4 linked regions of the Notamacropus eugenii genome follow. The protein of the gene in region 1 interacts with the protein of each later gene in a pairwise test. Links are inferred from orthologs where the notes say so. Each region holds a gene or a part of one and is shown in the gene's direction. Other genes may lie near its edges. The genes, in order: HOXA1, EGFL7, FBLN1 and TRIM42.

Region 1 (7,285 bases):
TGCTATTGGGTTGTTCTGGTTTTTTTTTTCCTCTTATTTTCTTTCCCCCTTTTTCTCCCTCTTTCTGTGAACAGTGTTATTTACCGTGAGAAAACAGTGCAAGCAACATGTGTGAGTGGGCTGGTCTGATTTACTAACCGAAGACCTTAACAGTAATAGTTTGGCAGTTACAATGAAATCTGGGCTCTGTGGGTGGGTGAATGCATGCCCCCCCTCCACCTCCTCAGTCCTCCCTCCGTAAAGAACTATCCAGCATCTGGGAGAAGTTGTAGGGTTCTTTTTACCGGAGCCCAGTGGAGAGAAGCTGAACTGAAAGTTTGCTGGGTTGGGCTGGGCTGGGCTGGGCTGGGCTGTGTGGGCCAGAGCTGGGAATAGGGCTGGATAGAATTCTTCTACTGCTCATAAATCAAACTCTTTCTATGAATGAGAATGTCATCAAAGAGATCAATTGCAGGAACACATGCACAAATACAAGTCCTCTTACGTATTTGCCCGAGCTGGGGATCCCCGTCTGAAAGCATTAAGTTAGGAGGCGTTTAAGCTATAAGTCATTTTTATTGCTCTTTTAAAACAACAGCTTGGCTAAGCTGCCGATGCCACGAAAAGCTCAGAGCCTGGGCTTCCCCCCCTCCTCCCTCCTTTTCTTTCTAGGAGAAGGGCTTTGGGCGGAGGGAAGAAGCGCTTTAAATCTAGCCATTCTCTTTTTATTTTAATGACGGTCTCTCCACCCTTCCCCTGCCTGCCTCTAAGCTTTCCATTTTTGACAAAGCATGGGGTTCTTTGCTGGGTGCTCTCATTACCAACTCCCCAGGGCTCAAAGAGGGCTCTAAAACTCGTTTGTCGATTTCGAGATCAATTTCCTCCTGGATGAGGGAAGGAGGTTTTGCCTCTTGGTCGTCTTGTGTTTCTGGGGCCAGTCTTTTGTGTGATGGCCGGTGGGAAGAAAGCTCAAGAAAGGCGAAATTCTCCGAAGGAAGTGGAGGCGCTGATCTGGACTATGACGAGCCTGTGGAATCTGGGCCCAGGCAGCAGAGAGGCTAAGCCGGGTGGAGAAACGCCAGTGGGTACAGTATCTCGATTTCTGTTGATGGCTTTGCCTGTGTGAATATGTCTGTGAGTATTTACACACACCAGGGAAACTCCTTGCTGGGGCTTCCACTTAGTGGGAAAGAGGAGGGAGAGAGGGAAAAGAGGACAGGAGAGAAGAGAGGCAGGAAGAGAAGAAGAAAGTGGGAGGGAGGATAAAAAAGAAAGGCGGGAGAAAGAGAAGAGGAAGAGAAAGGTAGAGAGGGGAGGAAAAAGGGAAAGAAAAAGAAGGAGCAAGTAGGGAGGAACTGGAGGAAAGAGAGGGAGAGAAGGAAAGAGAAGAGATGGAAGTGGGAGGGATGATAAGAAGGAGAGGGGGGAAATAGAGGGAGGAGGAAAGAGTGTCAGAGGACTGAGGAAAAGGAAAGGGGGAGAGAGAGAAAGAAAAAGAGAGAGGGAGGGAGGAAACGGAGGAAAGAGGAAAAGAGCCTGTGACAGGGAGGGTGAGAAAACAAGAGGGCAAAGGAAGGAGGGAGAAAGAGAGAGAGGAGGGGGATGGGGGGGTAGAAGAAAGCAGACAAGATGGAGAGGCAATAGAACACATTCCATCATTCCCTATTATGTTTCATTGTGACTGAGCAGGCTACAGACTTCTAGACTAAGTGGGATCTTAACAAAAGACATGAGCTTTTTAAAAACAAAGATATAGAAATGGAGAAAAGAGGGGGACTCTGTGGAAGCTGTGCTCCTGGAAAGGAAAACGCTTAGCTGTGATGACTGTGCAGCTCCCCACCCCCACTCCAAGCCCTGCCCCCAGAATCTCTGAGAAGGAGCCTCAGAACTGGATGCTGGCCTGGGAAGAGGAGAAAGGGACGATTCTCCTCAGTCAAGGTCCAGACTCTTTCTCCTCAGAGGGTCCAACCTTCCTGGTGGCATGGTGCTGATCGTATTGGAAGAGGCTCTACTGGCTCACTTGGGGCCTGCTTCAGTTCCTCGTCATGACTATGGGTCAAAGGGCAAAAGAGCAAATGAAAATAGAAGGGCAAAAATATTGGGGAGAAACACCTTCTACTTGGGAGAGGGGAGAGGAGAAATGGAGGAGGGATGGGCTGAGGGGCCCCTGAAGCTGGTGAAGCTCCTCCAATTTTGTTCTCCCCTCTCTGAGGAGGAGGCTACTGGGGGAGAGGGCTCGACATGGAGGAGAAAAGGAGTTTATATTTTATTTTAGGAGTTTATATTTTAGGAAACAAAACAGAAAAGGAATGTGGTAACACGGAAATTTCAAATAGGCCCCCTAAAAATCTAGTTCTTGAAATTGGAGGGGGTGGGAGGAAACAAGTAACCAATCAAAAGCAGCCTCCAGATCTGTGGCCCTAGCGATCACCTCCTCTGCAGGGATTGGCTCTAAGCACACCGCAGATATTCCTGGCTACATAAGGAGCACCCCCACAGAACCGAGAGATTCCTTCTCTGGCCCTCTCCGCCTTGCTGTTTGTCCCAACTCTTTTCTGTCTCAGTCTGTCTCTGACCCGTTCTACTTGGCCTTTTCTCTGCCCGCTCAGGGTTGACACGGAGCCCAGTGCCCCACAGAAATTAAAGAACCCATTAGTAGCTGTGAGAGAACGAAGGTGACTGAAAACAGGACCCTTAGCCTGGGAAGAGATTTCTGCTAGTAGCAACGCAAACCTCTAGGGAAAACTAGCCAGTCAGTGCAGTCTAGAAACCAAGGAGGCTGGGCGGGTCTGGCTGTGGGGAGGGAGGGGGTGTAGCAGGGAGGGGAAAGCTCACTTTCCATCATCAACCATCTGTCGCCCCTCCCACTTGGCAGCCCCCACCTCCAACTCCAGACACAGCGGATGGTGACCCTAGGAGTGTTGGGGTTCGATTGGGGAGGGGGGGAAGGAGGGGAATCGTGAGGTGATCTAGCCCCAAGGTAGAAGAATTTGATTATAGTTAATTCTACAGTTAATTCTTAGCCCGCTCCTCGTCTTTTATGTCTAGGCACTCGGTCCGGGTTGGGGTTAGACAGAGGCTTCGGATGTCCCGGCCTGCGTGGGTTGACCCTCCAGCGCTGGGGGAGCCTACCAGATGGACAGCAGCTCCGGGACCCGCTCCAGAGCTGGGCTACATTCGCCAGCGTCTGCCCCTTCTCTCTCCCCGCCCTTCCCCTTCCCCCTCTCCCCCCCATCCCTCCGCGGAGTTAGGGAGTTACTCGCCGGTCACCTCGGACTCCCCAGGCAGAGTCGATTATAGGGAAGGAGGAGAAGCTGGGGGAGGGGGATTGCTGCTGCCAAGGCGGCCTTTCCCGTCAATCCAGGGTCCCCCAGCTCTCCCGCCCCCGGGAATCAGATTACAACAACGTCTCATTGCCATGCTAATAGCTGCGGGACTGGGGCGGATTGGGGAGGGGGAAGCTCCTTGGCTTTGGAGACCTTCCGTGGAGATGAGAAGTTCTCCTCCTCCTCCTTCTCCTCCTCCCCCTCTCCTCCTTCGTCCTCCTCCTCCCTTCTCCCCCTCCTTTTTCTCCCTCCTCCCTCCCCCTACTCTTTTTCTCTCCTCTGCTCTTAGCCTCCTCCCACACGGGCCTTGTAGGTTTTCTCGCCAAACCGTCCCCTCCCAGTCGCACTGTTCCCAAAGGAAGCCGTGGTCATGACAATAACCAGAGAGCTGGGCAGCTAGGGGCAGCGCCTAGCACACTCACCCGGAGGCTGGGGCGCGGGTGCAGGGCGATCTTCCTTTTCTTTCTCCTTGGCTCACTCTGGTACTGGGGTTGGCCGGGAGGGTGAGGGGCTCTCCCACTCACCTGCAATTGGGCGGCCGGCTCAGTGCAGACCGAGCCCCAGCCCTGCGATCCTGACCAGAGCTGGGACTCTCCCCGCCAAGCGCCGCATCTTCGTCCTCCTCGCTGGGCCCTGGGGATCTGCCCCACTCCCCCATTCCTCCAGCGACTCCTAAGGCAGGGCGGAGCGGGAGCCAACAGCGGCGGTGGTGGCAACGGGGAGGGCTGCCCCTGGGGCTCCGGCTCCTCCTGGGCCCGGCCCCAGAGCGGGGCTCCCATCGTTGCCACTGCCGCCGCCGCCGCTGCAGCGGCCGGGGGGGCGACTGCGCGTCACCTTGATGGAGGAGCGTCCGGGATTTAAATGCCACTGAAACGGTGATCCATCACCAGCAAGAACAGGCAAACTTTCACAGGAGGCTCCGCCATTGGCTGCCGCGGTCACGTGCGCCCCGTCCCTCTCTCCCCCTCCCCCGCCCCCTGCACACTGTACATTCATATCATTTTTCTCTTTGGCCCCATGGAGGAAGTGAGAAAGTTGGCACGGTCACCCAGGGCTCGGAAGGAGCCGGTCACTGTGTGACAGGCAGATGGACAATGCGAGAATGAGCGCCTCCTTCCTGGAGCACCCTATCCTCAACGCAGGAGACTCGGGGACCTGCTCCGCCCGAGCCTACCACCCCGATCATGGGATTACAACTTTCCAGTCGTGCGCGGTCAGTGCCAACAGCTGCGGGAGCGACGAGCGCTTCCTGGTGGGCAGGGGGGTGCAGATGAGTCCTCCCCACCACCCTCACGCCCATCACCACTATCCCCAGCCGGCCGCCTACCAGCACCTCAACAACCTGGGTATGTCTTATTCCCACTCCAGCTGTGGCCCGGGGTTCGGATCGCAGAACTTCGGAGCAGGTTACAGCCCCTACTCATTAAATCAGGAAGCAGACGTAAGCGGCGGGTACCCCTCGTGTGCTCCCGCTGTTTACTCTGGAACTCTCTCATCTTCCATGGTCCAGCATCACCACCACCACCACCAGGGTTATGCTGGGGGCACGGTGGGCTCGCCTCAGTACATTCACCACTCATATGGACAAGAAGCGCAGAATCTGACTCTGGCAAATTATAATAACTCCTTGTCCCCTCTCCATGCCAGCCACCAAGAAACCTGTCGCTCTCCTTCAGCAGAGGCATCACCTCCAACACAGACCTTTGACTGGATGAAAGTCAAAAGGAATCCCCCCAAAACAGGTCAGTTCTCTTGCCCAGCACCTGACCACTGCTACTGCTGCCATGAGGGTTTGGGGGTGGAGTGGTGGGTGGGTGTAGGTTTACTTAATATGGTGGGGAGAAGCCAACTCAAGGTTATATATAGGTTTTGTAGGGGGTGGATAGGGTGGAGAACTCAGGTGTACTTAGGTAAATGATGCCCAGGAATAATAGGCAGGAGGCCAGTCCCTCTCTCTGGCTTCCTGAAAGTAGGAGCTGGGGGTGGAGGGGTGGACTCCCATTAATCACGATTTCTGTTCACACCAATAGTTGACTTCAAGTTAATACTTTGTACCTCATCAGTCACCTTCCTAGGAGTCCTATGTGGTCAGGTTATCCTTTGCCCCTTTACCTATGATCCCAAAGCTTGACGGGTATAAATAAATCACTCATCCACACCATTTAAAAACTAAAAACAATCAGATGACCAAACTACTTCTTTTCTCTCCACCTTCCCCTCTCCCCACCCTTGCCCTCCAGGGAAAGCTGGTGAATATGGGTATATTGGCCAACCCAACACAGTGCGCACCAATTTTACCACCAAGCAGCTGACTGAGCTGGAAAAGGAATTTCATTTCAACAAGTACCTCACGAGGGCCAGAAGGGTGGAGATCGCAGCCTCACTGCAACTCAACGAGACCCAGGTGAAAATCTGGTTTCAGAACCGCCGCATGAAGCAAAAGAAGAGAGAAAAGGAGGGCCTGTTGCCCATTTCGCCCACCACTCCATCACGGAGTGACGACAAGGCCGAGGAATCCTCAGACAAATCTACCTCTTCGCCCTGCGTCCCCTCTTCCCCAGCCTCCTCTACCTCAGACACTCTGACTACCTCCAACTGAGTTTGCCCCTGGCCCCTTTTTTCCTCCCCCCACTCCCCACCCCATGATACTTTAGTGCAGGACTTCTAACCCGAAGCACATTCTTAGCTTATCTCTCCCTTCCTTTACTATGTCTTTCTTTTTGATGTTATCTCCATGTCTTCTTCGGGCTAGGTCACTGTGTTTCAAGAGAATTCAGGCCCAGAGACTGAGAGGCTGGGTGGGAGTAACTTCACAAATGGTGGGGTACCACCATCTGGTCTTTGATGACCTCTGAGGGCCTATGATTGATTCAGACATCCTTTGGAAAAACTCCATCTCCCCACCCCACCCCCTCCCATGCTTGAAGGGTGGAGATATCTGATATCTAACTTCAAATTATTTTTCTCCCCCCGTCCTCCTTCTCCTCATCTCCCGGACACTAAAGGCAGGAAAAAAGAGAGTCTAAAGACCTCAAGAAGAGGATGCACTATGAAAGTGTTTACACATTCATCTTTTTAATTTAATGCATTCAGTTTCTTGTGTGAGAGTTTGCTGGTTGTAAATACTTTAAGAGATTTATCTTTATACAGATTTTCTAGAAATGATGTTTAGCTTAGGAGATTAAAACAGGGTGGATAGACTCCCAAAGCTGGGTGTAATTTTATACAGGACTAAAAGTGACAAAATAAAGAAATCAGACTGGACTGGTGAAGCCCAATCAGATTACTTCACAGGGAAGTAGCCCTGTGCCTTTGGAGAAGATGAGTAGGACTGGGCTGCACTGGGTTATTGTTGTTGTTGTGTTTTGGGGTATTTTTTGTTGTTTTTGTAAACCTCCTGGGTGTGCAGTGTCTCTCCCCCAGTCCTCCCACCTCTTCTGGCCTCCTCCTGCCCCACTCAAAAATTATGCTGAATTGTTTCTGAACCCTAGGGCATATTATCTCCAAACATCTTATTTCCACAGTAATCCTTCCCTCGATTTGATGTATCTCCAACCCAATCGTAAATGTGATGAATGGCGAAATGAATGTATATTTCATGTGATTCGTGAATAGGCTTTTTGCATGGTGCACAATGGTTTGAGCTCCCAAAGATACTACACTGAGTTCTATCAGTTGTCCTTTGTGGTCCCACAATGCTTCTGAGTTTCTGTACAATCATGAAAAGTTCTGAGATTCCAAGAGTGATGGAATTCAGAGCAGAATTTACGGGTCCTAAAATATCTGTAATAAATATATTCACATTTCAGGTATGCTTGGGCTTCCTTGTATTTCCTCCAGGCTGCTACAATTGATTCCACACTGGGTTGATCATTTCATGTGCGAAGGGGAAGGGAAAAGGGTGTCTCTACTTTCATAAAAGTTGCCCTTAATTGGATAGAGTCAATTTTTTCCTCCTCATCCTGCAGCTAAAACCCACC
Region 2 (7,982 bases), on another chromosome or scaffold:
GGATCTCTTTGGGGCCAAAACAATGCTAGCACCTTTGTTACTTGCCCCTAACTAAAGCAACCCCCTAGATGAATCCCACCCATTCTTAAATGCCCAGCTCAAGTTCAAGATTTTCGGAAAACTCGTCTTAACTGACAATTTCAAGCAACAGTGACCTCTCTTTCTTCCCCTTAGAACGTCCAGAACTTTTATCTATCCCACATAATTTAGTTCCTCTTTGTGTTGTTGGAACATTCTCCATGTTCTTTAAGGCTCACCTTTGTTAGACTAACCTCTCTGATATGCTTCTCCACCCCTATAGGTCCTCACCTCACAATTCCAGAAGAATAGTAGTGATTTGAGTTATAGCTGCCTGGGCCAACCAACCAAGTTTTCCTCAGATGGTGCCAGTGTTAATTAACATTCATACTTATAAGTCTAGACCAGGAGTTCTTAGCTTTATTCTATGTCATGAACCCATTCGACATTCTGGTGAAGGCTATGAACCCTTTCTTAGAATAATGTCTATATGATGAGTGTGGTGACACACACCTATAATTCTTGATACTAGGGATACCAAGGCCTATAGATTACTTGAGTTTGGGAATTCTGAGCTTTAGTGTGGCTAAAATTTGTTGGTTATCTGTACTAAGTCCAGAACAAATATGGTGGGCCTCTGAGAGCAGAGGGCCACCAAGGTGTCTAGGAAAGGAAGAATCAGTCCAGGTCAGAAAATGAGCAAGTCAAAGGTTCCATGCTAATCAACAGTGATTGGGAATGGCTGTTGCATTTCCATGCTGGGTGAGAGATGGAGACCCAATCTAAAAAAAAGTCTTAAATGCATGAAATAAAATACAGAGGATTACAAAGGAAACCAATCATATTAACCTATGATTATCAATTTTTTTTTTAAAAACAAGTTCATAGAACCCAAGAATTCTCAATTTAGATACTCCAACTCTGGCCTCAGGGATGCATCTTATATATACATCTTTGCTTCCTGTAAGCATTAAAGAATTCAGCGCTGGGCTCGTTGTAAGTATTCAGTGACTATTTATTGAATTGAATGGATTGGAATTATGGAAATTTCTTTTTTGGGGGAGGGGGTTTTGGTTTTTTTGCTTTCATGATCCTAGCCTCCCCTTGACTTGTAACAATTGTTGTCAGTGGAAATGAGACCCAACTCCTCACAAGTTAAAGAACTCACCCTGTGGAATATATGAGAATCTCCTTGAATGGCTGAAGATATGCAAATAATGACTCCCTTCACTAAACATAGGGCCCAAGGGTTCATTTTATTCACCTCTTCCTGGGCCTGATTACTGTAATCTATCTTCTCTCCAGGACACTCAGAACGAAGAGCATGTCATTCTTATCAGCAATGGTAAAAGTAAGTCCAGCTCAATGCAATTCAACATTTAGCTTAAGATGTTACATTATATATTCAGAGGATACGAAGACAGAATGGAAAACAGAATACATTCTCATGAAGCTTATATTATACTGGGGAAATATAACATGAAAACAGATGAATGAATTTAGAACTCAGCACAAATCTCATCTTCCCAGTTCCACCCTTTAACCCCCTTCCTTCTGAGGTTACCTTCCATCTACTCTGTAAATACCTTACATATGTCAATCATTTATTATCTCTCCATTAAAATGTTAGCTTCTTGAAAGCAAGGGTTGTTTTTATCTCTAGCACTAAGCACGGTGTTTAGTACACTTAATAAATACTGCCGACTGACTGAAAAAGCATTTATCAAGTGCTTATGATGTGCCAAGCACTAGGGTTACAAATGTTAAAAGCAAAGACAGTTCTTGCCTTCAACTAGTATTCTAATAGGTTCAAGTCAGATGGTCCAGGAAGGGTACCTTGATCCCAAAAGTTACAGGAATGGTGAGTGGGGAGTAGATTGAAGCACTCCATCTAGGGACAACGGCAGAGTTGACTTGGTCATGGTTCCAGGAGCTGGAAGGGGGAAAGGTAGTAGATTGTCCATACTTTGTCAAAGTGGTTGGCAGAGCTATACAGAAGATGCCTGGGGAATAGAGAGTGAAGCAAAGCATGACTGTGGTCCTCCTGAGATAGTGGGCCAAGAAAGTCAGTCACCAGTGATAACATTAGAGCCAGCTAAGTCTGATTATTTGAGAAAGGAGAGAGCACTAAAAACCTGAGGGATCAGCAGGTTTCCAAGGAAAAGGTTCATAAGCTGATCCTTGAAGAAAGCTGGGAATTCTAAGAAGTTGAGATGATGGTTTTGTCATTGCAACTTAATCCCCAAAACAAAACTAGAGAGAGGTAGATGAATGAATGAAAAAGCACTTTTTATGGGGATATAAATATAGAAACAAGTGCAGTCAGTCCCTGTCCTTAAGGAATTGCCATTCTAATGAGGGAGACAGCATCCAAAGGAGAAGAGTGACTAGGGTCGGGCAACTTCATTCTGAAAGTTACAGGGATGCATAGTAAGTGGAGCTGTAGCAGAGTAGATTGGTACTACCCATCCATGGATCTTGACAAAGTTGATTTCATCATCATGCATGATTCTAGACTTACAAAGAAAGGAAAGGGAAGAAAAGGCGTGGGAAGGTAGGACCAAAGCAAGGAGGAGGTGACTGGAGAGTAGGGAGTGAAGAGAAATATAGCTAGGACCTTCCTGAGATAGTGCTTCTGAAAAGGCACCAGGACACCAAGGTTGTGAGTGAGAAGATTGTCAGAGAGTAAGGGAAGAAAATGAAGATATAAGACTACTGACTAACAACAGCAGCTTTCACCCTAGAGTTTCCCAGCAGTAAGTTTGGAATGCCCTATATTATCAACATTTTCAAACTGCCCCCCCCCCCTTCCCTCTTGGAATCCCTAGCATTTGCAAGATCAGAGCCAAGGAGCCCATCTGTTCTTATCACTAATAAAAATGGCTGTAGCATAATTTAGACAGTTCCCTAACGAGAGAACCTTGTACTGCCATATGAGCTTTGTCTCTCCCACTCCATTGACTCTGATAAAAGGCTCTAATTTTTAGCAGTTTTAGGGCTTTCATTTCTAAGTCTGGTCCCCCCGTCTTATAGGTTTTGTTTTAAAGAGAAAAGGAGATGAAGACACTCAAAGAATCAACACATCACGAAGAAGGCTGAGAGTCATAGATAAGTTACAGATTTAGAACTGGAAAGGAATCTCAAGTGACTATTTAGTTCAACCCCTTCATATTAGTGAAGGGGAAACTGAGGCCCAGAAAAGATTAAGTGACATATCTCATGTCACACAAGAAATGGCAGTACTGAGATTTGGACCTAACTCTTCTAACCTCATATCTAGCACTCTTTCCACTAAGCTATAAAAAGCTATCCAGATAAGGGGAAGATTAAAACTGGTTTTAACTCAGTTTAACTCAGACCCAAGAAGCAGAATTTGTACAGGTTATCTGGGTGAGTCCATGTGGATCCCTCTGTTGCCCAAGACAATTAGCTGGGCCATCAGGGTCTTGCCAAGCTTAGGATGCCTAGATCAATCTTCCTCAGCACTGATGACCCCTGCAGTAATTCAGAGAAGCCCTACCTTGTTTCCTTATCACCATGATTCTTTCTCTTTCCCAAAACTTTCCATGGATCTTCATTCCCCCAGGAAGAAATTCATACTCCTCAGCCTTGTAGTCAAGGCTCACCATAGCCTGGTCATATCCCTACCCCTCCAACTTTATCTCACTCTCCTCCAGATATAGTATTTGTCCTCCAGATATAGTCCCTGTCCTTCAGGAACTTATAGGCTTGCTGGGAAGACAAGGCTAATGTTAAAAAGTAAGGGTAGGGGGTAATTAGGGAGTTTGTGAGAAGTGCCCAAGAAATGGTACAAATGGTAAATGCTTATAAGGAATTGAAGGGAAGGAGAGATGTGTCAGCTGGACAGGTCAAAGAAAACTCTAAAGAGTTTTGGGACTCAAGTTGGGCCTTGAAGGATAAGTAGAAATAAAATAATTAGAAAGAAGACAGAGAGCATTCCAAATAAGGCACTGGGTCAAGGAAAGATATAGAGAAAGGAAAGCTGAACAGTACTGACAAGACCAATTTGGCTAGAGTAGAGGGTTCACCTGAGAGAGCAGTGGAGCTGGGCTTAGTTGTGAATTTCCCTATTTTGAGGGCAATATTTTCCAAGATTGTTACAACACTGAAATCATTGTGACCCACTGACCTGGGCAAGCCATATCTGAGGAAAGAATTTGGGGGTCTCTTGAAGAGGGTCACATAGGAAATTCTTGAAGGACCCCAAGTCTGGACCAGCCTGTGGATTTTCCAGAAATTGTCCATCAACCCTAAAGAATGTAACTTCCTCCTTCCTACTTGATCCTCTCATCTCTTTAAAATGACTTCACTACAGTTATCCTGTAAAATAGAGACAAGCATAGATGATGGGTATTTTTCTCTTCCTGTCCATACCCCTACATTCCCAAATGAGGAGACAGTAGTCAATCCACCCTTTGAGTCACAATCCTCCTCCACTACAAATACTCAACAGCCTCTTTGGCAATCTGGACCCTGCCCCTGTTATTTAAAACACCATTCCCTATCCTGCCTGCCTCGGCCAGCTGCTGCCTCAACCAAACTGATTCCAATGGTGTGAAAAACAGGAAATGGCATTTTTTCTCCTCTTCTCGACAGGTTCATTCTTCTCTTCCCACCTCTTCTGGCTCAAATGGAGATGTCACCAGTGCCCATATGTCACATGGTGGTTTGGGATGTGCAGTACAGCCTTAGTCAAGGGTTCTGACCTTTCCTGCTGAGCTGGAGCTGGGGGAAACATGGCAGCAAGACATCTCAGGCAAGGACAGGGGCTCTGCATTTCTCAGCCAATTTGCCGTGCATCTGGCCTGCAGAACTAGAAAAAGGTAACTCACTTATTTTCTTGAGGGGAAGGGCTGGAGCCAAGTCATCTTTAGGAGAAACTTAGAACCATAAAATCTTAGCGCTGGATAAGTGAGTTAACCTAGACTAGCTCCCACACTTTAAACTGAGGCCTGAAGAAGGAATGTCCTGCCCAAGGTTGTCCTGGGAAGTTATTCTGGGAAAACCAGAACTCTAACAGGTCTCCTGGCTCCCAGTCCACTGCTCTTTTCACTTTGCCATATTGAGTCTTCTCCTAAAACTCCAGGTTCATCTACCACTCCATAGTGCCAGCTATTTTCTCTTAAGGAGTGAACCTAGAAAGAATTTATGTTATTGTCTGGGAAGCTAGACTGAGTTCAGAAAAATGAAAGTGTTTCACATTTTACTGAGAATATGAACATCTGGATTAAGATTGGAAGGGGATTTGGATGGCAAATTTTAAAGCAACCTTATTAAAGGTGACTTCGGGGGCTACTGTAGACAAGATTTCTACCCTGGGTGAGGAAGTACTTTCTAAAAAGTAAAAAAAGAAATCTACTCCCATTTGAGTTGTATTAAGGTTCTAGTAAATAACAAGAGTGAACTAGCCACCCTCCGAGGTTCTTTCTAACTCTAACATTCAAAGATCTAATGTTCGTTCATTCTAATAAACATTGTCTGTGTGCCCAGCACAGTGCTTTGCCCCAAAATGGAAACAAATAAATTAGATACTACCTTCAGAAAGCTTATAGCCTATTAAGAGGGATAATATACATGGACATGAATAAATATAATCCATTGCTGCAGGGGTTCATGTGAGCCAGCACAGGAAAGTGAATAGAGGGCTATCGTTGGAGTTAGAAGGTCTGAGTTTAATTCTTGCTTCTGATACATATAGGCTATTGGATCACAGGCAAGTCACTTAGCCTACAAGTTGCTACTAAGATGATAAAGTTCAGAAGAGGTCTGTGTCTGCATTAGTGGATGGAATTTCTTCCCTGAGAGTTCCCTATATGAGTGGTATCAAGCTCAAACAGAAACAAGGGTCACTAAACCATATATAAGGATCCCAGCAGGCTGAGAGTTGACTTAGAAAACCACACATTAGGATCATTTACATTCTGTTGCATTTTATTTATTTTTAAAAGTATTTCCCAATTATATTTTAATTCAGTTTGGCTCACACTCAAGAGCGCTGCAGGCTGGTGCTTGACATCTCTGTCTCACACCAATAAAATCACAAGCCAAGACAAAAAAATAAAGTTCACAAAAAGATTCACTGATGGATGAGGGAATTAGGGGTGGGGATACACCAGATATCAATAGATGGAGGGGTGGGAGGGATGCAGGCATTGAGCACCCAAAGCATCGGAAAGGACTTGAGTCAAGTCAACGAATCAGAAGAGATAGGAAAATATTAGGCATGGGAGAACAGTAGGAATAAGGCTACAGGATAGAGGCAGGTTTAAGGTCTATAGAAGGACCCTGGCAAAATCCATAGATGGGGCCCCAGAATTAGGTCTCTAGTTCTCTCACATGAACACAACGTGATTCAACCCATCAGTCAGTCAACAAGCATTTATGAAATACCTATTAGACTGTGCAAGTTGCTAGGGATACAAAGGCAAAAATGAAATAGTACTTGCCATCAAGAAGCTTATATCCCATCATGGGAGACCCCAGTACTCACATATATAAAGTAATTGGAGGACTTGAGAGGAGGGAAGACACTAGTAACTGATTAGATCTGAATTTATGTCAGAAAACATGACCTTGAATGGATAGAATAAGAAAGAAGTTGGTTCCCATTGGAGAAAGCTAGAGTTTGGGGAGGGGGCTCATAATGCCACACCAGCCAGACCAGGAACACCCTATACCCACAGGGCACCTCAGCTGGAAGGGCCAGAGTGTTGACCACAAAGAACTGAGCTTGCAAGTTTGCAAGGGCTGGCTCTAAACGGGACTCCTTAAAATCAGATCAGAACATCCCACCTCCTCTGGGGTGGAACAAGCCCTAGAAAGAATTTAGGGTCAAGAGGGTTGGGGCTGGGCAGTCTCAAAGGAGGGCAGAATTAGAGGAAGGGGGCCCCTGGAGTGAAGCCTGCCTGACTTTCCTAGAACAAAGCGGGTAACATTTCCTGCCCCTCCTACTCTGTGTAGCAACAGGCTTGAGCTTTTGTACGTAGTCAGGACTCAATTGTACCGAAGTTGAATATTTTAGGGACCCATGACTGTCCATGTGAGTACTCCTCCCTCTACCAGTATATATCAAGAACCTTCCCAACTGTCTTTAGGAGTTGCTGTGATCATAACATTTATCACCACGTGGCTCAGAGAGGTAATAGGGAAAGTTCTCCAGCCCTCTGGCCCAAGAACCTAATATCTGTTACAGAGACCACACTTGAAACCTTTTCAACTTGTTAGAACCTACCAGGAGTTGGGCTTTCCTGCTATAATCTTGGAGAATCCAGGCTCACCTTTACCATGCTATGACGAGACAGGAAAGAGGAAGATTGTAGTAGAGGGTCTCAAGAGTGAGTTAAATGAATGTGGGTAGTCCAGGGAAAAAAGCTCTGAACTGGGGGACTGGAGGAGTGGAATGAGGGCTGGATTTGTGGTCAAAGGACCTGGTTCAAATCCTGGTTCTGCTACTTGATAACTGTGTGGCCTTCCACAAATCATGTAACCTCTCTTGGATTCAGCTTCCTCATCTGCAAAATGAGAGAGAGGGTTGAACTAGAACTGCAGCTCTAAATCTACAATTCTATGTCCCTTATCCTAACCAACTGACCTTGGACAAATCAGCTCGCTTCTCCAGGACCTATTTCTCCAGTGAAGTACTTAGATTCAATGGAGTTTACAGACTAGATTACCTGGGGGACTGGCTTGAGTGTAAAGAGGTTTATCCACTGGGGTAATAAAGCTAAAGAATTTGTACCAGGCTACAGGATATGATATCTCCCTGTCTTTTGGCTCAGAAACACCTATTTCTCTTATTGCCTTCCCTGAGGGGCTTTTACGAGCAGTCTATAGGCTTAGTGTCTCTTTGTCTGAGTCATTCCCATTTGAGAAGGGAATAAATCAAAGCTGAGTTCCTCTCCCAGCAACAGCTGGTGTTCTGTCCCCAACTTGATGGATTTCAA
Region 3 (7,248 bases), about 290 Mb from region 1:
TTGGAGTGTTGTTTGGGAGAAGGCTGGGGCTAGAGATACAGCTGTGGAAACTGTCCATAGCAAGGGCTTGTTAGATCCACCAGAGGTGACACACGGTGAGAAGATTTAGGGAATGGAAGAAAGAAGAGAAGTTGGTCAGCAAGGACCAAGTGCTTTAGTTGCTGATCCCATGGGCCATCCGGTGATGTCCTGACCAGGTGACCCTGAGCCAGTTGCCAGCCCCCAGCATCCAGGAGGCCTCTGACACAAGAAGGGGAAGAGGAGGGCTGACTTGCATCAGTGCAGTTCCACCAACAGGGATCTCCTGAAATCTCAGGGTCTGAGCCTGATCCCCCAAATGACGTGAGGGGCATTAGACAGGTGAGCTCTGAGGGATATTCTCTAAGCCAGAAGATACAAGATGCAGAAGGGTTGGAGATCTGGACCAAGGATCCTTAGGAAAGGAGGGTGGGGAAGAAGTTCCATTGAGGCAGAGACAGCCAGAAGCATCCAAAGCATTCCACACTGCAAACAGGTGGAGAAGGAGGCGACTCAGGCACAGGCCATGCCATTTGGCACAGCAGGCATTGGTGATTTCCCAAAGCATTCTTTCAGTTGAGTTATGTAGGCAGGAGTTAGACTGGGGAGAATCTGGGGAGGGAATGGGTTTCTGCAGGCCAAGGGGGAAGAGCTTGAACACTGACCCCTAGCCTTTTGTGAGAAGGATTTGTGGAGAGCTCAGCTCTAGGAAAATCCCTCCTGGAAGGAGACTCAGGAGGTGGGAGATGAGTGGGAACACCTTCCCCAAGTGGGTTCTCCTGCTCCTGATAGGGAGTCTCAAATATCCACTGGATGGATCCCCAAGGAAGGGAAGCAGAGAGGGCCCAAAGCCAACTTCAGATATTGTGTGTGTATGTGTGTGTGTGTGTGTGTGTGTGTGTGTGTGTGTGTGTGAGATGTGCTCTGTGACAGGCCTGTGAACAATTGCTAGGCAAATATGAGGGCCAGCTGTTCCCCATTACCCAGGTCAGTGGGAAGGTTAGGGGCTGGTCTCAGGCAGGGACTTAGATCAGACTGCTGTGGAGAATTTTCTAGCTCTGCTGGAGGTGCATGAGCAAGCTGACCAACTCAGCAAAGTCCCTGAGCCCTCCTTCCCAGAGGCCTTGAAACAGAGAACACATTCTCCTGAGCTTGGCTAGGAAGCTAGGATGAGAGGCAGTGACAGCCCAGGGTGACCCTCTCCGTTCCTCTTGGTCCATCTTTCTGGCTGTAGCTCAACCCTTGACTGGTCCAGAACCCCTCACCGAACATTTCCCCTCTCCTTTACTTTGGGTGAGACTTTCTGCCCCTTCTCTTCCCCTCACCCTCCATCTCTCTCCTCATTGCATCCCAATGACCAATGTCTCCACCATTCAGTTTATCCAACTTTTAAACTCTGGGACTTTGGGGTCTGCCTCCCAGCAGAGAACTCACTGGGGCCACACCTGGTTTTAATTGGTTTTCTGCCCAGTTCTTGGGAACTCTTCATAGGGTTAGAACATGGGTTCTCTTTCTGATGGGACCAGCCCCTCCCTTTGGACCTGAGTTGGGCCTGGCTCTGCCCATAGGAAGACCCAGTCAGCATAAGTGGAGCCTAGAACATGGCAAGGATGTAATCTCTACCAGGTGGCAAACTCTAGAGGTGGGTAACCCAATATCACTTGACACATAGTAGGTGCTTAATAAAGGCCTATTAATGGACTGAGTGCATAGAATCCTATATTTAAGGCTGGTCCCTAACATTAGAGGCTATCTGGTCCACATTCTCCTTTTATACAGGTGGAAACTGAGGCTCAGGAAATGAAAGTGATTTGCTCTGGAGGCTGCTCAATCACACAGTGTTCACAGTGTGGGAGCCTGGAGTCAGGAAGACCTGAGCTCACATGTAGCTTTAGACACTAGCTCTAGGACCCTGGGCAGGCCACTTAATTTCTGTCTAAGTTTCCTTAGCTATAAAATGGGGACAATAATACTTACTTTACAATATTGTTGTTGATATTTGTAAAAACAGCTAATCAGGTGCTGGGCCCAGATCCAGACCTATCGAGTGATGGATCGCTAGCAGGCTCAGTGGGTAGAGTGATGGGCCTGGAGTCAGGAACATGAGTCTTCCTGAGTTCAAATCTGGCCCCAGACACTTACTAGTTGTGTGACCCTGGGCAAGTCATTTCACCCTGTTTGCCTCCATTTCCTCATCTGTAAAATGAGTTGGAGAAGGAAAGGGCAAACCACTGCAGTATCTGCTGAGAAAACCCCAAATGGGGTTACCAAGAGTCCACCATGACTGAAAAAATGAGTGAACAACAACAAAAAACCTGACTGTGCCAGGCCTTATGCTAAATACTGGGAATACAAAAAGAGGTAGAAGACAGTCCCTGTCCTCAAGGATCTTACAGTCTCACAGGGGCAGCAAGATGCATACAAAACTACACAAAGCAAGCTCTAGATGGTATAGAAAGTAACAGAGGGATAGCATGGGAAGTCAAAGTGTTTGGAGGAAAGCTTCCTGTCCAAGGGGGCTGTAGGACTGAATGGAAGCCAGGGAGATCAGTAAGCAGAGTGCAGAATGAAGAGCATCCCAAGAAAAGGCCCAGAGCCGAGAGAGGGAATGTTTTGTTTGTGACCAGAGTCTGTACTGTGTCAGAGGAGAGAAGGGGACGTACCAGAGAGATGCTGAAAAGCCTCAGCAACATATTAGATATGGGTTGGGGGGTGGATGAGAAAGATCAAGGAGTCCAGGCTGACTCCTAGATGGGGAGCCTAAGGGACTGGGCAGAAGGTGGTGCCCTCTATAGTCATATGGAAGGTAGGAGCAGAGGAGGTTTAGGAGGAAAGATAATTAGTTTACTGTTAAATGTATGGAGTTTCAGATGTCTACTGGACATCTAATTCTGGATATCTGGGAGGCAGTTACCTGGAGAGCCCTGCAATGAAGTGTTGTGAAGACATTTTAGTTGACTTCCTTGGATTAGAATAAGAATTAGGATAAGAAAATTATTCCATCTCCCCCTCCCCCAAAGTACTAATTAGGTTTCCTCTTTGCCTATTTGCTTTTTCCCTCCCCTTCTGGTGCTGCAATTGTTAGGGTGTCTACTGATTGTTAAGCAAACGTAAAAGAAAGAGAAACCTCTGGGTTCAGAGGTCAGAGGCTGAGGGTTGAGAGTCAATAATCCCACCTTCAGGGAGGGGAGAGAGAGGGGCAGGGAGAAGAGGGAGGGAGGGGAGGGAGGGGAGGGAGGGGGAGACAGACAGCTTGGAGCAGCCCATCACTGGGGTTTTCAGCCAACTCTGATATTCTGTGGCTCAGTAAATCCTGATATCCAGTAAATATTTGTAACAGTTGAGGGGCGGGGGAAGAGAGAGAGAGAGAAAGACAGAGAGAGGGAGGAAGAGAAAGAGGGAGAGGGAGAGGGACAGGGACAGGGAGAGAGAGAGTTGCAGAAAAGGAGGTGGCTGCTCTCCTGGTGCCCATAGTCTGGAGACTGATAAGACGAAAATACAGATAAGTAGAACACAGAACAATGCCCATGATAAGTGGCTTTCCCTGGAGGGGGCAAAGTGCTCCTTCTGAGGTGGGGGATGGGAGTGTTCAGGACAGGGGCCTCCGGGAAGCATGGACTCCCCATCACTTGTTGTGATGGATGGGGCAAAGGGGACTGTGGGTCCTGGAGGGACATGTCTCAGAGCCTGTTCTCTGGTTCCGGTATTCTGAAGGGGCACTGAGTGACCTTCAGTCTTAGGCCTGGCAGGAGTCCAGTAGAGTGGGGTGGCTTTGGAGAAACTCCAACCGAGGGCCCCTTCCCCTCTCCACTTTTGGAAAGAAGCGAGGGCAGAGGAACATGAGAGGAGAGAAAAGGGGAGACAGACTGAGACACGCAGAGAGAGACAAGACAGGAGCAGAGAGCTGGACAGACAGAGCAGAGGGAGGGGGAAAGAGTCGTTTTTGTTTTTAAAGAACCCCGAACCCGGGAGACGGAAAGAGCCAGGCAGCCAGAAATCCAGCCCGGAGCGGCCTGCTGCCATCACTCCAGCGATCGGCCCGCCCCACGCCCGCCCGCCCCCCGCCCCAGTCCCCCGCCCCATCTCCCGCTCCCCCTAGCCTAGCCTGGGCTTGGGCCAGAGCGCTTCCAGGCGGGATAATTAAAAGGAGCAGGGCGAGTCGCTCCCGAGGACAGAAGCAAGCGGGCGGCCCGGGGACCGCTGGGCACCCCGCGTCCTCACACTCCCTCACACAAGTGCCCCCCAAGTCCAGAAGGGAGGAGCGGGAGCCGGGCCGCCGGCCGGAGAAGAAGGAGAAGTCGCTGGCCCCTTTGTGCGCTCAGGGGGCTCACCCCCTTCCCAGAGTCCCGCGCCCCATGGAGCCGGCCTGGCCGCCGCGCCCTCTGGGGCTGCTGGCCCTCGTCACGCTGCTGGCCGCCGGAGGTAAGGAGAGGGGCCAGCTGGGGGGCTGGGGACCGCCCCCAGAGCGCAGTCGTGGGGAGAGGGGCTCGGGCGCGAGGTGGTGCCGGAGACCTCAGCCCCTTAACGTCCCCCTTCTCTCTCTCACAGAAGGGCCTTCTGTGGGTTCCCCCCCGCCCCGCGCCTCCTTTCTCTCTGCCACTCCGGAGGAAGGGAACTTGTGATACCCGTCTGTCCTGTCGTGTTCTGGCCTCCCGTCCTGGCCACTGACACAACCCAACGGCATCGCCAGCCCCGGCACCCCAGGTGCCCAAGGGCTTCCGCCTCGTCTCTGCCTCCCTGCCCACACCCTCCCGCATTGCTCGCCATCCCCTCTCCCCCCCACCAACTCACTCTCCCCACTCTTCTCGGAGCTTTCTTTGAGAGGGCAGATGTTCTTCTCACCTGTGTGACCTCGGGCATATTGCTTCCCTGTTCCCGGCCTCGGTTTCCCCATCTGTCAAAAAGGGAGGTGGACTAGGTGTTTTCAGCCCACCCCCACCCCATCTTCCAAATTCTTTTCTCCCACCTCCTTGCCAACACATGCTAATTCCTAGGTTACTGTGGCAGAGTGAAAAAAGACTTGGGAGTGGAGAACGCTGGGTTCTCAGCATTCGCTGAGGGTGTCTATCCCTTGGTCAGAAGAGACTTTGTTGGGGCCCCTTCTCCCCTAGCTCACCCTCCCTTTTCTGGGCTGTAAAACCATATCAGGGAGGAGGCAGCCTTTTCCAGGGGTCCTGCCTGCAGTGTCCCCAGCTCTAATCTACACAAGCCCTTCCTAGCGTTGTTATTGAAACAATTAAAGCCAGAGACCAGAACCATTCCTGGTGAGGGGGTGGGGAGTGGGGAGAAGAGGGGCAGTGCTCAAGAGTCTGTGGGACAGAGCACATGTTTGCTTTCTCCTCCCCATGGGCATCCTGGCAGAATCTCTTTCCTCATTGGTGGAGTCCAGGTCTCAGGGAGTAGGGAGGGGGCTGCTCTGGACTTGGAGCTCTGGCTTCCTCCCCTGATTCTGTGGCCATTGGGCATGGGTGGGATTTCCTTGTCCAGAGTCTCATTTTCCTTATCTGTAGAATAGTGCCTTCAGCAGTAGTGCCTTCAGCACTTGGTGTTGGGAGAAAGCTTGTGAAAAAAGGAAGGATTTAGGAGAGACTCTGGCTGTCCAAGAGACATCCAGTCCAGTTCGGGGAGCTTTGGAAGCCAGGGCAGTGCCCAGACATGGGCACTCCCTCAGATAATTTGGCCAGCTCCAGAACCAGGCCTGGTCCCAGCCTCCATTCTTTGCCTTCCTGAAGGTCTTCAGGCAGAGATGGATGATCAGTTACCCACTAGAAGGTTCTTGTTCAGACAGGAGTGAGATTAGATGAGCATTGAGATGCTTTCCATTTCAGAATTGCCATGGTTCTCCCTGTACAGTCTTGTCCCTTCCCCTTTCTGGCCTCAGTTTCCTCATCTGTAAAATGAGATTCCCTGTTCTTTAATGTCCCTTTCAGCTTCCTCACCTATTTTAAAAAAACTGAGCTATATGGACTGGACAGCTGAGGTGGCCTTGCTGGCTCCTGACAGTGGACAGTAGCTTCTACCCTCTGGCATGGGCTGCTGGGCCTGGCAGCTGGAGAAATGGGACAGGAGAAGGTTCTGTCCCCTTCCTCCACCCCAGGCTTTCTTCTCACTAGTCACAGGCCTGACCTCCAGGCTGACTGGGAGCTCACCCCAAGGACATGCCTTTCTCTTCCACCCCCAGGCTCTTCCATTTATGGCTTTGGGGTGGGGGTGTTTCTCTTTGTGGGCCCCCAAACTACCAGAAAAGCTATTGGGCAAGTCTGAATGAGTGGGCAGCAGGGACCCCAAAGAGTCCCAAAGAGGAATCGATTTTGGTTAGCTATTTACATAACCCTGACAGGGACAGTCAAAGTTTCCCCTCCCCAAGCCCCCAGAGCCTCACTGGGGAGTTGAGGAGCTTCTGGCAGGTCTGGACAGGCCAGGATAGCTTCAGGCCTGGCCCATGGTTGGGGGGGAGCAAGGAGCTGGTGCCAAGGGATGGGTTACTTTGGCTCTAGTGCCTCATGGAGACCAAGGGAATCCCAGTAGGGCCCTACCCATCTCCATGGAGAGAGGAATGATGGAGGATGGGATCCCAGAGCCTAGCAGTCAATGACTGACAATGATAGAGCCAGACAATAAGATGGGATGATTTGAATCCAGGGTCCTCCCTCCTCTATTCTGCTTAGAGCATCAAATGACCCTGTATTAATACCCCAATTCAAAAGAATTCAAGAAGCCTCTGAATAGGGAATCCTTTCCTGGAGGTGTCTGGACCCACTGACTCCCCTGGCATCCTGAAAAGAGCCCTTGGCTAGCAGCAACAAAGCAGGAGCCTGATTCTACTGCTTTATTGACTTTGTGATGCTGGGGAAGGGGCATAATACCATCCTCCTCATCCATACCATGTACTGCCTCCCTGGTGGAGTGGTGGGAAGATGACACTGGTGGTGGTGTCCTGGAACCTGGGTTCTAAAGTCATCTCTCATACTCACCACTGCCTGTGTAACCTTGGGCAGCTCATTGCTGTCCCCTGACCTCAGCGCCAGTTCTTGGCATATCAGTGGATGATATGCTGTATTTAAGCACCTACTTTGGGCTAGGTACCATGGATACAAAGAGAATCAGCCCTCACTTTCTGAGTCTGAGGCCCAGGAGCCAAATCTGGGCTCTACCACTTACCTGTGTCATCTTGGCCAAGTCGTTTCCTCACCCTGGGCCTCAGTTTCCTCTTATGTAGCTTATAGGGAG
Region 4 (8,100 bases), on another chromosome or scaffold:
GTCTTCTTTGGTAACGAAAACAAACACACACACAGAATCTATGCCATGCTATCAAGAGCTTTGCTAGAGAAACTACCCAAATACCCTGACATAAAGTAGTCCTAGTAACTTAGAGAAGCCAAGAATAATTCCTAGGGACAAGGGGGAGGTGAGAAATAATATGAAGGAGGAGGAGAGAATTTTCTCTTTTGAGGAGGTAATGGTTTACTCCTCACTTGAGGTCTTCAAAAATGACTTCTTGTTGGATATATTGCAGATGGTATTCTTATTTAAGTATAGAATTGATAAATGGTTTCTGAAGTCTCTGTAGCCTTGTTGTTTATTTGTTCATATTTGTATCTTGACTTCCCAGCGAGATTAGGAATCATATCTTCTTTCTCAGAAGGAGTAACCTTCTGAGTGAAGGGGTAGGTATTGTATGCAATTTGGCTACTTGGTGCTGGCTTCCAAATTTATGTTTGTTTATGAGGGGAGGGCAGGGGAAGGGAGGGGAGGAAAGTGGAGGGAAGTGGAGGGAAGGGAAGGGAAGGGAAGGGAAGGGAAGGGAAGGGAAGGGAAGGGAAGGGAAAGGAAGGGAAGGGAAGGGAGAGAAGGAGACAGTAAAACTCAGTTCAACTGGGCAGCTTTTGGCCATCCAAATTTACCTTAGTTTGGAGAGGAGGTTAGGGGAGAGAGAGGCAGACAGGAGAGAAGGAGGTGAGGTACCCAGCTAGCATTCAGCCAGCTGCATCTACTCACAGGATCGTGTTAGTCCTTCATTGCTAAGAAGACCATACCATCAGAAAATGATGACATGACTTGCACTTGACTTTGTTTTGAGTGAGGGAGGGCTGTGCAGGTCACCAGCCCCACTTCTTTTCCACAGCCATGTCAGTCCAATGACCTGATGTTCTTCAGGATTACTGGAGATGGCCCAGGATGCACTGGGAGACCTTGGGCCGTTTTAGGCCAAGGTCTTTGCAGGCACTCACTTAGGGTGAGGCAATCCCCATTCATTGAATAGGCCTGTTTAAGAAGTAGCCAGGGCATGGCCCTTTTAATGAGGTCAAGAAAAATAAAGACATCAGGTTGGGTGGGAAACAGCAACAGTTACTACTGATAATGACTGTGAAGCTGGGGGGGCTCCAGAAGCCCTTGGCAAGGGCTCTTTGGAGTCCCAGTTTCAGGGTGTAGTAGGTTTAAGGTTTTGGGAGAAGACAGAGGAAGGGAAGGGAAGGGAAGAGAAGAGAAGGGAAGGGGGAGGGGAGGGGAAAGGGCAGAGGAGGGGGAAAGGAGAGGAGGAGAGGGGAGGGGAAGGAAGAGGAGGGGAGGGGAGGGGAGGGGAGGGGAAGGAAGAGGAGGGGAGGGGAGGGGAGGGGAAGGAAGAGGAGGGGAGGGGCGGGGAGGGGAGGGGAGGGGAGGGGAGGGGAAGGGAAGGGAAAGGAGGGGAAGGGAGGGAAGGAAGCAATAAAACCCAAGTCAACTGGGCAGCTTTTGGCCATCCAAATTTACCTTAGTTTGGAGAGGAGGTTAGGGGAGGGAGAGGCAGACAGGAGAGAAGGAGGTGAGGTGCCCAGCTAGCGTTCATTTGTTTTGAGTGAGGGAGGGCTGTGCAGGTCACCAACCTCACTTCTCCTCCAAAGCCATCTGAGTCCAGTGACCTGATGTTCCTCAGGATTACTAGAGATTGCCCAGGATGCACACAGAAAGAAACTTTGTGGCAAACTGTGCCAAGGTTCAGTACTTTTAAAAATTCTTGGAAAGCGCATTAACCTGGGCTAATCTTAAATATATTCGAATTGGGTCATGTATCTGAGAATCTCTCACAGAAGGGACTACTTGGCTGACCTCAGGTGAATATGCAATCAGGGCGTTTTAAAGGCTTTCAAATGCTGTACAACTTACAACCTAGACCTGGAATGTGCTAATAAGGGACCCTTCAGATGTCTGGAAAACAAAACGAAGCTCATTTCTTCCCTTTGTTTACACTGCCCGGAATGTGTGGGGCTCTCCCGGGTGGAGAGCACTTGACTCAGAATGGGATATGCGAAATGCAGATGCCAAATTAGGGACCTCTGAGGAAACCACTTCCAAAAAGGGCTATCTTAATTTGACCTATAGAGTGCAGTGAATAAAGAACTGAGATAGGAAATCTGTAGATCTGGGATCTCATTTTTGATTGGCTATTGGATAGCCTTGGACAAATAAGCTCACCTTTGAGGACCTCATTTCTTCAGCTGTAAAAAGACAATTGAACCAGTTGATCATCAAGATCCCTTGAAACTCTAGTTCCTAAAATTCTATAGTACATCTTTTAATAGGAAGTTAGGTTAGATAACCTTGCACATCCCTCCTAATTCTGGGATTCTATGAATTGAGGAGGCAGATCCCTTGCATTAAAGTCTTGGCCCAGTTGACTTTTTTTTTTTTTTTTTGGTATTTTACCATATTTTTATCTTTTTTTAAAGTTTATTTATTTTTAATGTTCCACAATCACTACCAAAAAGCTTATATTTTTACCCCCCGCCTACCCTCCACGACTCCCCTCCCTCCCCAAGATGCCATACAATTCTATATATGATGTACGTATACTTTCCTATTGAATATGTTTTCACTACAGTAATGCTATATAGATGAACTAAAATAAATGGAAGAAACCATATAAGAAATCAAAACATAATACACACACGCACACACATATATATACAAACAAGATCTGCTACATTCTACAAATGAATTCCATAGTTCTTTCTCTGAGTGTGGAAGGCGTTTTGCCTTAGAAAATCATTGGGAATTTTTTTTTTAAGTTCTTGAGTTATTATGAAGTTCCAAGTCTACCAGAAAAAACTCTCGCACGCTGTGGTCGTTGCTGTGCACAAATTTCTCCTGGTTCTGCTCCTTTCACTCAGCATCAGATCATATAAGTCTTTCCAGGCCTCTCTGGAGTCTTCTTGTTCCTCATTTCTTATGGCACAAAATTACTCCATTACATTCATACACCACAACTTATTCAGCCATTCCCCAACTGATGGGCATCCCCTTGATTTCCAGTTTTTGGCAACTACAAAGAGTGCTGCTATAAATATTTTTGTACATGTGGGACCCTTTCCTGAGAGACTTCTTGATTCTCCATACTTCTCATATCCTAGATTTTTCTTTGTTGCATTCATATCTCAATATCATCTCTACTTGCAGAAGCAAATATGCAGATAGAAGAATTACCCTGACAAAGATCTGCCTTGGATAGGTAGATCTGTGAATCTTTCCAGTTTTAAGCTTCTATGAGCCTCTTATTCTGAAAAGGATTTGACTATGCATCATACAAGTGATTTAGGTATCCCTTATACAAAAGAGAAAAATTCAATTTCAACAAATATGTATTAATCATTTTCAGACAATTGTAATGGGGTTGATGCAATATGGAAATGAAATAAAATTTTTGCCCCATGGAGTTTAGTAGGGGAATATGAATGAAGAATGTGCAAATGATTGTAACACATAGTGATGATACTTGAGAAGTGCACGCCAACTTGGTTTTCATGGGCGAAGGGAATGGGGAAGAGGGGTGATTATCATTATTGACTAATGAAATCAGGCATCGTTTAAAGCAGAAGAAACAAAAATATTAGCCCAGATCTTGAAAAGCTTTATTTAGAGTTTGTTTTACTCCATTATTACTTAAAAGAAGAGGAAAATCTGAAAAATGCACCTTTTGCTTAGCAGTTGTGATGTTCATACATTATAGACAAAAACTCATCAATTGACTGATGTTCATCAGGATCAGAAGTTCTACATGGAACGACACCAACATTTTTATCAATGTCAGTTCCACCCAAAGTGGAAACACTTGCAAAGCTTTCATTTTTGCCCGGATCAACAGATACAATGTGATGGTACGATTGATTCTGTGGTCCCGTCTATCTTACAGCTAAAAAAAAAAAAAATCATTCTTGGGTTTATAGTTGTAGTTGTTTTTTGCAAAGCCTTGTTAGTAACTCTGTTAGATCTTTTTGAAAGGGCTTGAAGTACCTACCAGGCCATTCCCTCTAGGCTCATGTTGCTGATATTGGGGTTTCCCAGTTACCCATACCTCAGCCTCTCTGGTGGAAGTTTTGGCTCAATAGTTTAACTTGTATTTCTATAGAAAAAGAACAATTAGAGATTCCTTATGTTTTCAATTCATATGGTCTTAGATTCAGAGATGCCATTCTAGTAAAGAGATTCTTAACCTAGGGTCCCTCAACTGCTCCAAGTGTCCCTAGATAGATTTGAGGGGTTCATGAACTTGGAACTTTTAATATTTTGACAACTATCTCAATATAAGTTGTTTTCTTTTATAATCCTATGCATTTTTTCATGAATTTAAAAACATAATTATGAGATAGGCTTCACCAGATTGCCAAAGGAATCCATGAAACAAAAAGGGTTAAGAACCCCTAATCTAGTCCAGCCTCTTCATTTTATAGAAGAGAAAACTGAAGCCCAGGAAACTGAAATGACTTGCTGGTTGCAAGGAGCCAGGATTTGAACCTAGGACCTCAAATTCTAAATTCAACTCTCTTTTCTGCTGAGAGCACAGTTATGGGGAAGCCTAGGCCTTCAGTCCACTAAGTCATAGCCCAGGAAACCCTGTATGGCATCCCCAGATGGTTTACCTGAAGCACAGGCCTAAGTCTGACAAGGAATTAAGCAATCCAAAGCCTAGCCTTCTCAGCTTACATACTACATGGTGACAGCAAAAGATCACCAGTCATTTTATTCACTTCAATCCCACAGACTGGCTGATTGTCCATGGAGAATGTGCCTACAGGCACCTGCAGCCCCACAGTGTGGTGAATTAAAGAGGGGAAAGAGGGATTATGACATAAACAATGAACTCAGTCTTACCTATGAAAATGCCCATCTGTCCCTTGGCATCCTAGTTGTAACAAACAGGTCATGGACTTGAGGAAACCAAGCAGCTGGTCTTTTTAGAGATAGAGTGTGCTATCAAATAGACCTTGGGACTCTGGAAGAGGGTAACATTATGAACCACATGTAGAAGGCAGGGATTTTATAGGAGTCATGGATGAATCAATGTGCCTCTTTTCTCCATGCTGTCCATGGGAGCATATCTTACCCAAGTCACGCATGTGCCTATGCATGAAGTTTCTTCTCACTACAGAAAGGAACTGCACCTGTTGCCCCTGCCCATATGAAGATGATGGGGTATGCCAGTTCTGTCACTGTACCTGTTCAGATGCTCCCAACTGCCACTGGTGCTGCTGCTCCTGCGCCAATGACCCCATCTTCAAGTGCTGCTGTATTTGTCCACCAGGCGCATCTACCTGTCACTGCTATGAGGCCCGCTGCTGCTACAGAGGACCTTTCCCTACTGACTCCCCGTAAGTACTCTAGGAACCCATGCCCAGACTGATGCCCATCATAACCTGCTGAGGCCAACTTCATTTTAGTCAATTCTGCCAGGATTTGTTTAATAAACAACTTCCCTAACAAAGCAGAGACCATCATGACTTCCTTCCCCCCAGCCTCTTGGGAATCATGACCCTTCCTTTCTGTATCACTCACTGGCTAGTGCATGACTTTTCCAGGTCTATCCTCATCCTTCAAGGCCCAGTTCTGATTCCTTCCCCTCTTGGCAGTCTCCCTAGACTATCCAAGTCTACACTGTTCTCTCCTTCAGGAGATACTAAGACTTTAAGTTAACAAAGACCTTAAAGGTTACCTAGTCCAAACTTCTCATTTTACATATGGGGAAATTGAGGCCCAGAAAGATTTAACTGTCTAAGCCTACACTGTTCTCTCCTTTAGGAGATACTCAAGTCTTTCAAGTTAGAAAAAACTTTTAAGGTTACCTAGTTCCAAGCCTTTCATTTTACATACGGGAAACTGATGCCCAGGAAAATTAAAGTGGTTTGTCCAAGGTCATGAAAAGTAGTAAATAGTAAGCAGTAGAGTAGACAATCAAACCCAGGCCCTCTGACTCTAAATCTACCTTTGAAAATGTTGAACCACTCTAGTATACTGCTCATTTCATAGGATCATCAAACTTAGAGGTGAAAGGGACCTTAAAGGTCAAGTTATTTCATCTCATCTTACAGATGAGGAAATTCAGACCCAGAGAAGTTACTATGCTTGCCAAGGTAACACAGTAGTCAGCTAGTCAAGACTTGAACTCAGGATCTCTGATTTCAAAAACTTTGGCATTTTGTCTAATCCTACCAGTGGTTATCAGTAATGCATGCTTTCATCTTGTAATGTTATTTGGGGGTTTTTTTTTGTATATTTATATTTTGTCTCTCCAGCTAGAATACAGGCTACTGGACAGCAAGCATGATGCCTTTGATTTCTTGGTATTCCTTACAGCACATTCCTAGATAATGTCTAGTATGCCAGAAGTACTCAATTAAATAGTGGTTTTAAATTATTTTTATTTAAAATTAATTTGAAAATTTTTTAATCTGAAAATTTAATCTATCCTACTTTGTGATGTCTAAAAAAAAACATTAGGCTAAACAACATTGCTGGGAGTAGTTAGTGCCACAGGAACAATGTTAAAATGTTTTAGAGATAGATTCCTGGTTGACCAAAATTTAAATTACAAAAGATTAAAAAAGTTCTTAGAGACATAAAACTCTAGATGTAGGATAAAAAGCCCTGGACAGATGATCTGGGTTTGAGTTACAATTTACGACACTTACTGACCTCGATCAAGATACCTCTCTGTGTTCCAGTTCCTTCATCTTTAAAACTAAGTTTGAACGAGATAAATCCTAAGGTGCTATTATGTTCATCTTCACAACTGTATTACTGACTCAACTTCCCCACCACTTCCCTCTTCCCCACCCCTTGTGTGATTCTCACCTAGGTGATATCTCACCTACATGGAGGTGATCCTTCACCTTTATACCTGTCACTGTCATGTTCACTTTTCAAGTCTCTGTACCTCACACAACTTTATACCTTTTCATTCCTCCATCCACAATACTAGGAAATGGAGTCAACACCATTCATCTCAATGAGGAGAAACCAGTAATTCTGTATATCTACCCTTTTTTCCTCATCCTAGCTAGAAACTTGAAAAGGACAGGTTTTCACAGGAAAGGAAGAAAGAGCACAGAAGACTACCCCCGTTCTGACTGATTCATTGATGCAATCTCTTGGGCCCACCTGGAAACTATTTTCTGAATGACCGTTAAAGACACTGTTGGGCTACTATACACAGGGTGTGTATGGGGAGTTGTGTCTTAAAGGATTGATCCTAAAACCTAACAGCAGAGTTTCTTACATTAGAGTAGGATTTTATTTTTAATATATTAAGAATACTGAGGAGCAACTTTCACTGGGGAACATTATGGGATATGTGTCTAATTGTGTTAAGTGCATAAATCTCTAAATTGCAAGCTGCTTGGTCTTTTCCACCTAGTCCAACATTTTGGACTATTAAGTACTCAATGAATTTTTAAGGCTCTCCAAACATTCATCTTTGCAGATGACCCTGTGCCAAAAATATCACAGGGCCTTCTCAGTGAGACTTCATGGACATTTTTAAAAGAAATTAACACACACAGGAGAAAGAAGAACAAATGTCCTAATTAAGGCATGTAGTTGGATGGGCAACCCTATTGGATTAGTATATCAGTACCTATATCTCATGAAGGCACTCCATGCAGATGAACAATAAACCAGCTTAACTGAATGGGGCAAGCTAGGTGGTATGATAGAGTGCCAGGACTCAAGTCAGGAAGACTCATCTTCCTAAGTTCAAATCTGACCTCAGACACTTAGTAGCTATGTGACCTTGGGCAAGTCACTTAATCATTTCTGTTTGTCCCAGTTCATCTGTAAAATGAACTGGAGAAGGAAATGGCAAACTACTCCAGTATCTTTGCCAAGAAAACCCCCAAATGGGGCCATGAAGTGTCAGACACAACTAAAAATAACTTAACACACAATGGAATGAGAGGAGACGAGATGGAATATATTGCATGTGGGTAACTTCATAGTACTTTCAGGTTGCTACCTGCTGCTAAAACCCATCTTATTTAATACCAGTACAATATTCTTCTGGTGATGACCAATTATGTTGTAAGCTCTGGCAGGAGCTTTGCCTCTTTTTAT

The links.
Region 2: the proteins of HOXA1 (region 1) and EGFL7 interact in binary tests that used the Homo sapiens proteins (3 or more experiments, as listed by UniProt). The link is inferred for Notamacropus eugenii from reciprocal best matches to the Homo sapiens genes HOXA1 and EGFL7.
Region 3: the proteins of HOXA1 (region 1) and FBLN1 interact in binary tests that used the Homo sapiens proteins (3 or more experiments, as listed by UniProt). The link is inferred for Notamacropus eugenii from reciprocal best matches to the Homo sapiens genes HOXA1 and FBLN1.
Region 4: the proteins of HOXA1 (region 1) and TRIM42 interact in binary tests that used the Homo sapiens proteins (3 or more experiments, as listed by UniProt). The two-hybrid records come from large-scale screens. The link is inferred for Notamacropus eugenii from reciprocal best matches to the Homo sapiens genes HOXA1 and TRIM42.

The regions. Positions count from the first base shown.
Region 1 is NC_092874.1:18,131,412-18,138,696, reverse strand, and holds HOXA1 (homeobox protein Hox-A1), read left to right. Parts: upstream 1-4,248; 5' UTR 4,249-4,392; coding exon 4,393-5,047; intron 5,048-5,545; coding exon 5,546-5,904; 3' UTR 5,905-7,113; downstream 7,114-7,285. UniProt on the Homo sapiens protein: Sequence-specific transcription factor. Regulates multiple developmental processes including brainstem, inner and outer ear, abducens nerve and cardiovascular development and morphogenesis as well as cognition and behavior.
Region 2 is NC_092872.1:489,305,914-489,313,895, reverse strand, and holds the start of EGFL7 (epidermal growth factor-like protein 7), read left to right. Parts: upstream 1-4,744; 5' UTR 4,745-4,862; intron 4,863-7,982. UniProt on the Homo sapiens protein: Regulates vascular tubulogenesis in vivo. Inhibits platelet-derived growth factor (PDGF)-BB-induced smooth muscle cell migration and promotes endothelial cell adhesion to the extracellular matrix and angiogenesis.
Region 3 is NC_092874.1:310,067,919-310,075,166, reverse strand, and holds the start of FBLN1 (fibulin-1), read left to right. Parts: upstream 1-3,977; 5' UTR 3,978-4,373; coding exon 4,374-4,440; intron 4,441-7,248. UniProt on the Homo sapiens protein: Incorporated into fibronectin-containing matrix fibers. May play a role in cell adhesion and migration along protein fibers within the extracellular matrix (ECM).
Region 4 is NC_092876.1:325,567,211-325,575,310, reverse strand, and holds the start of TRIM42 (tripartite motif-containing protein 42), read left to right. Parts: upstream 1-4,913; 5' UTR 4,914-5,043; coding exon of another isoform or gene 5,044-5,173; coding exon 5,174-5,363; intron 5,364-8,100.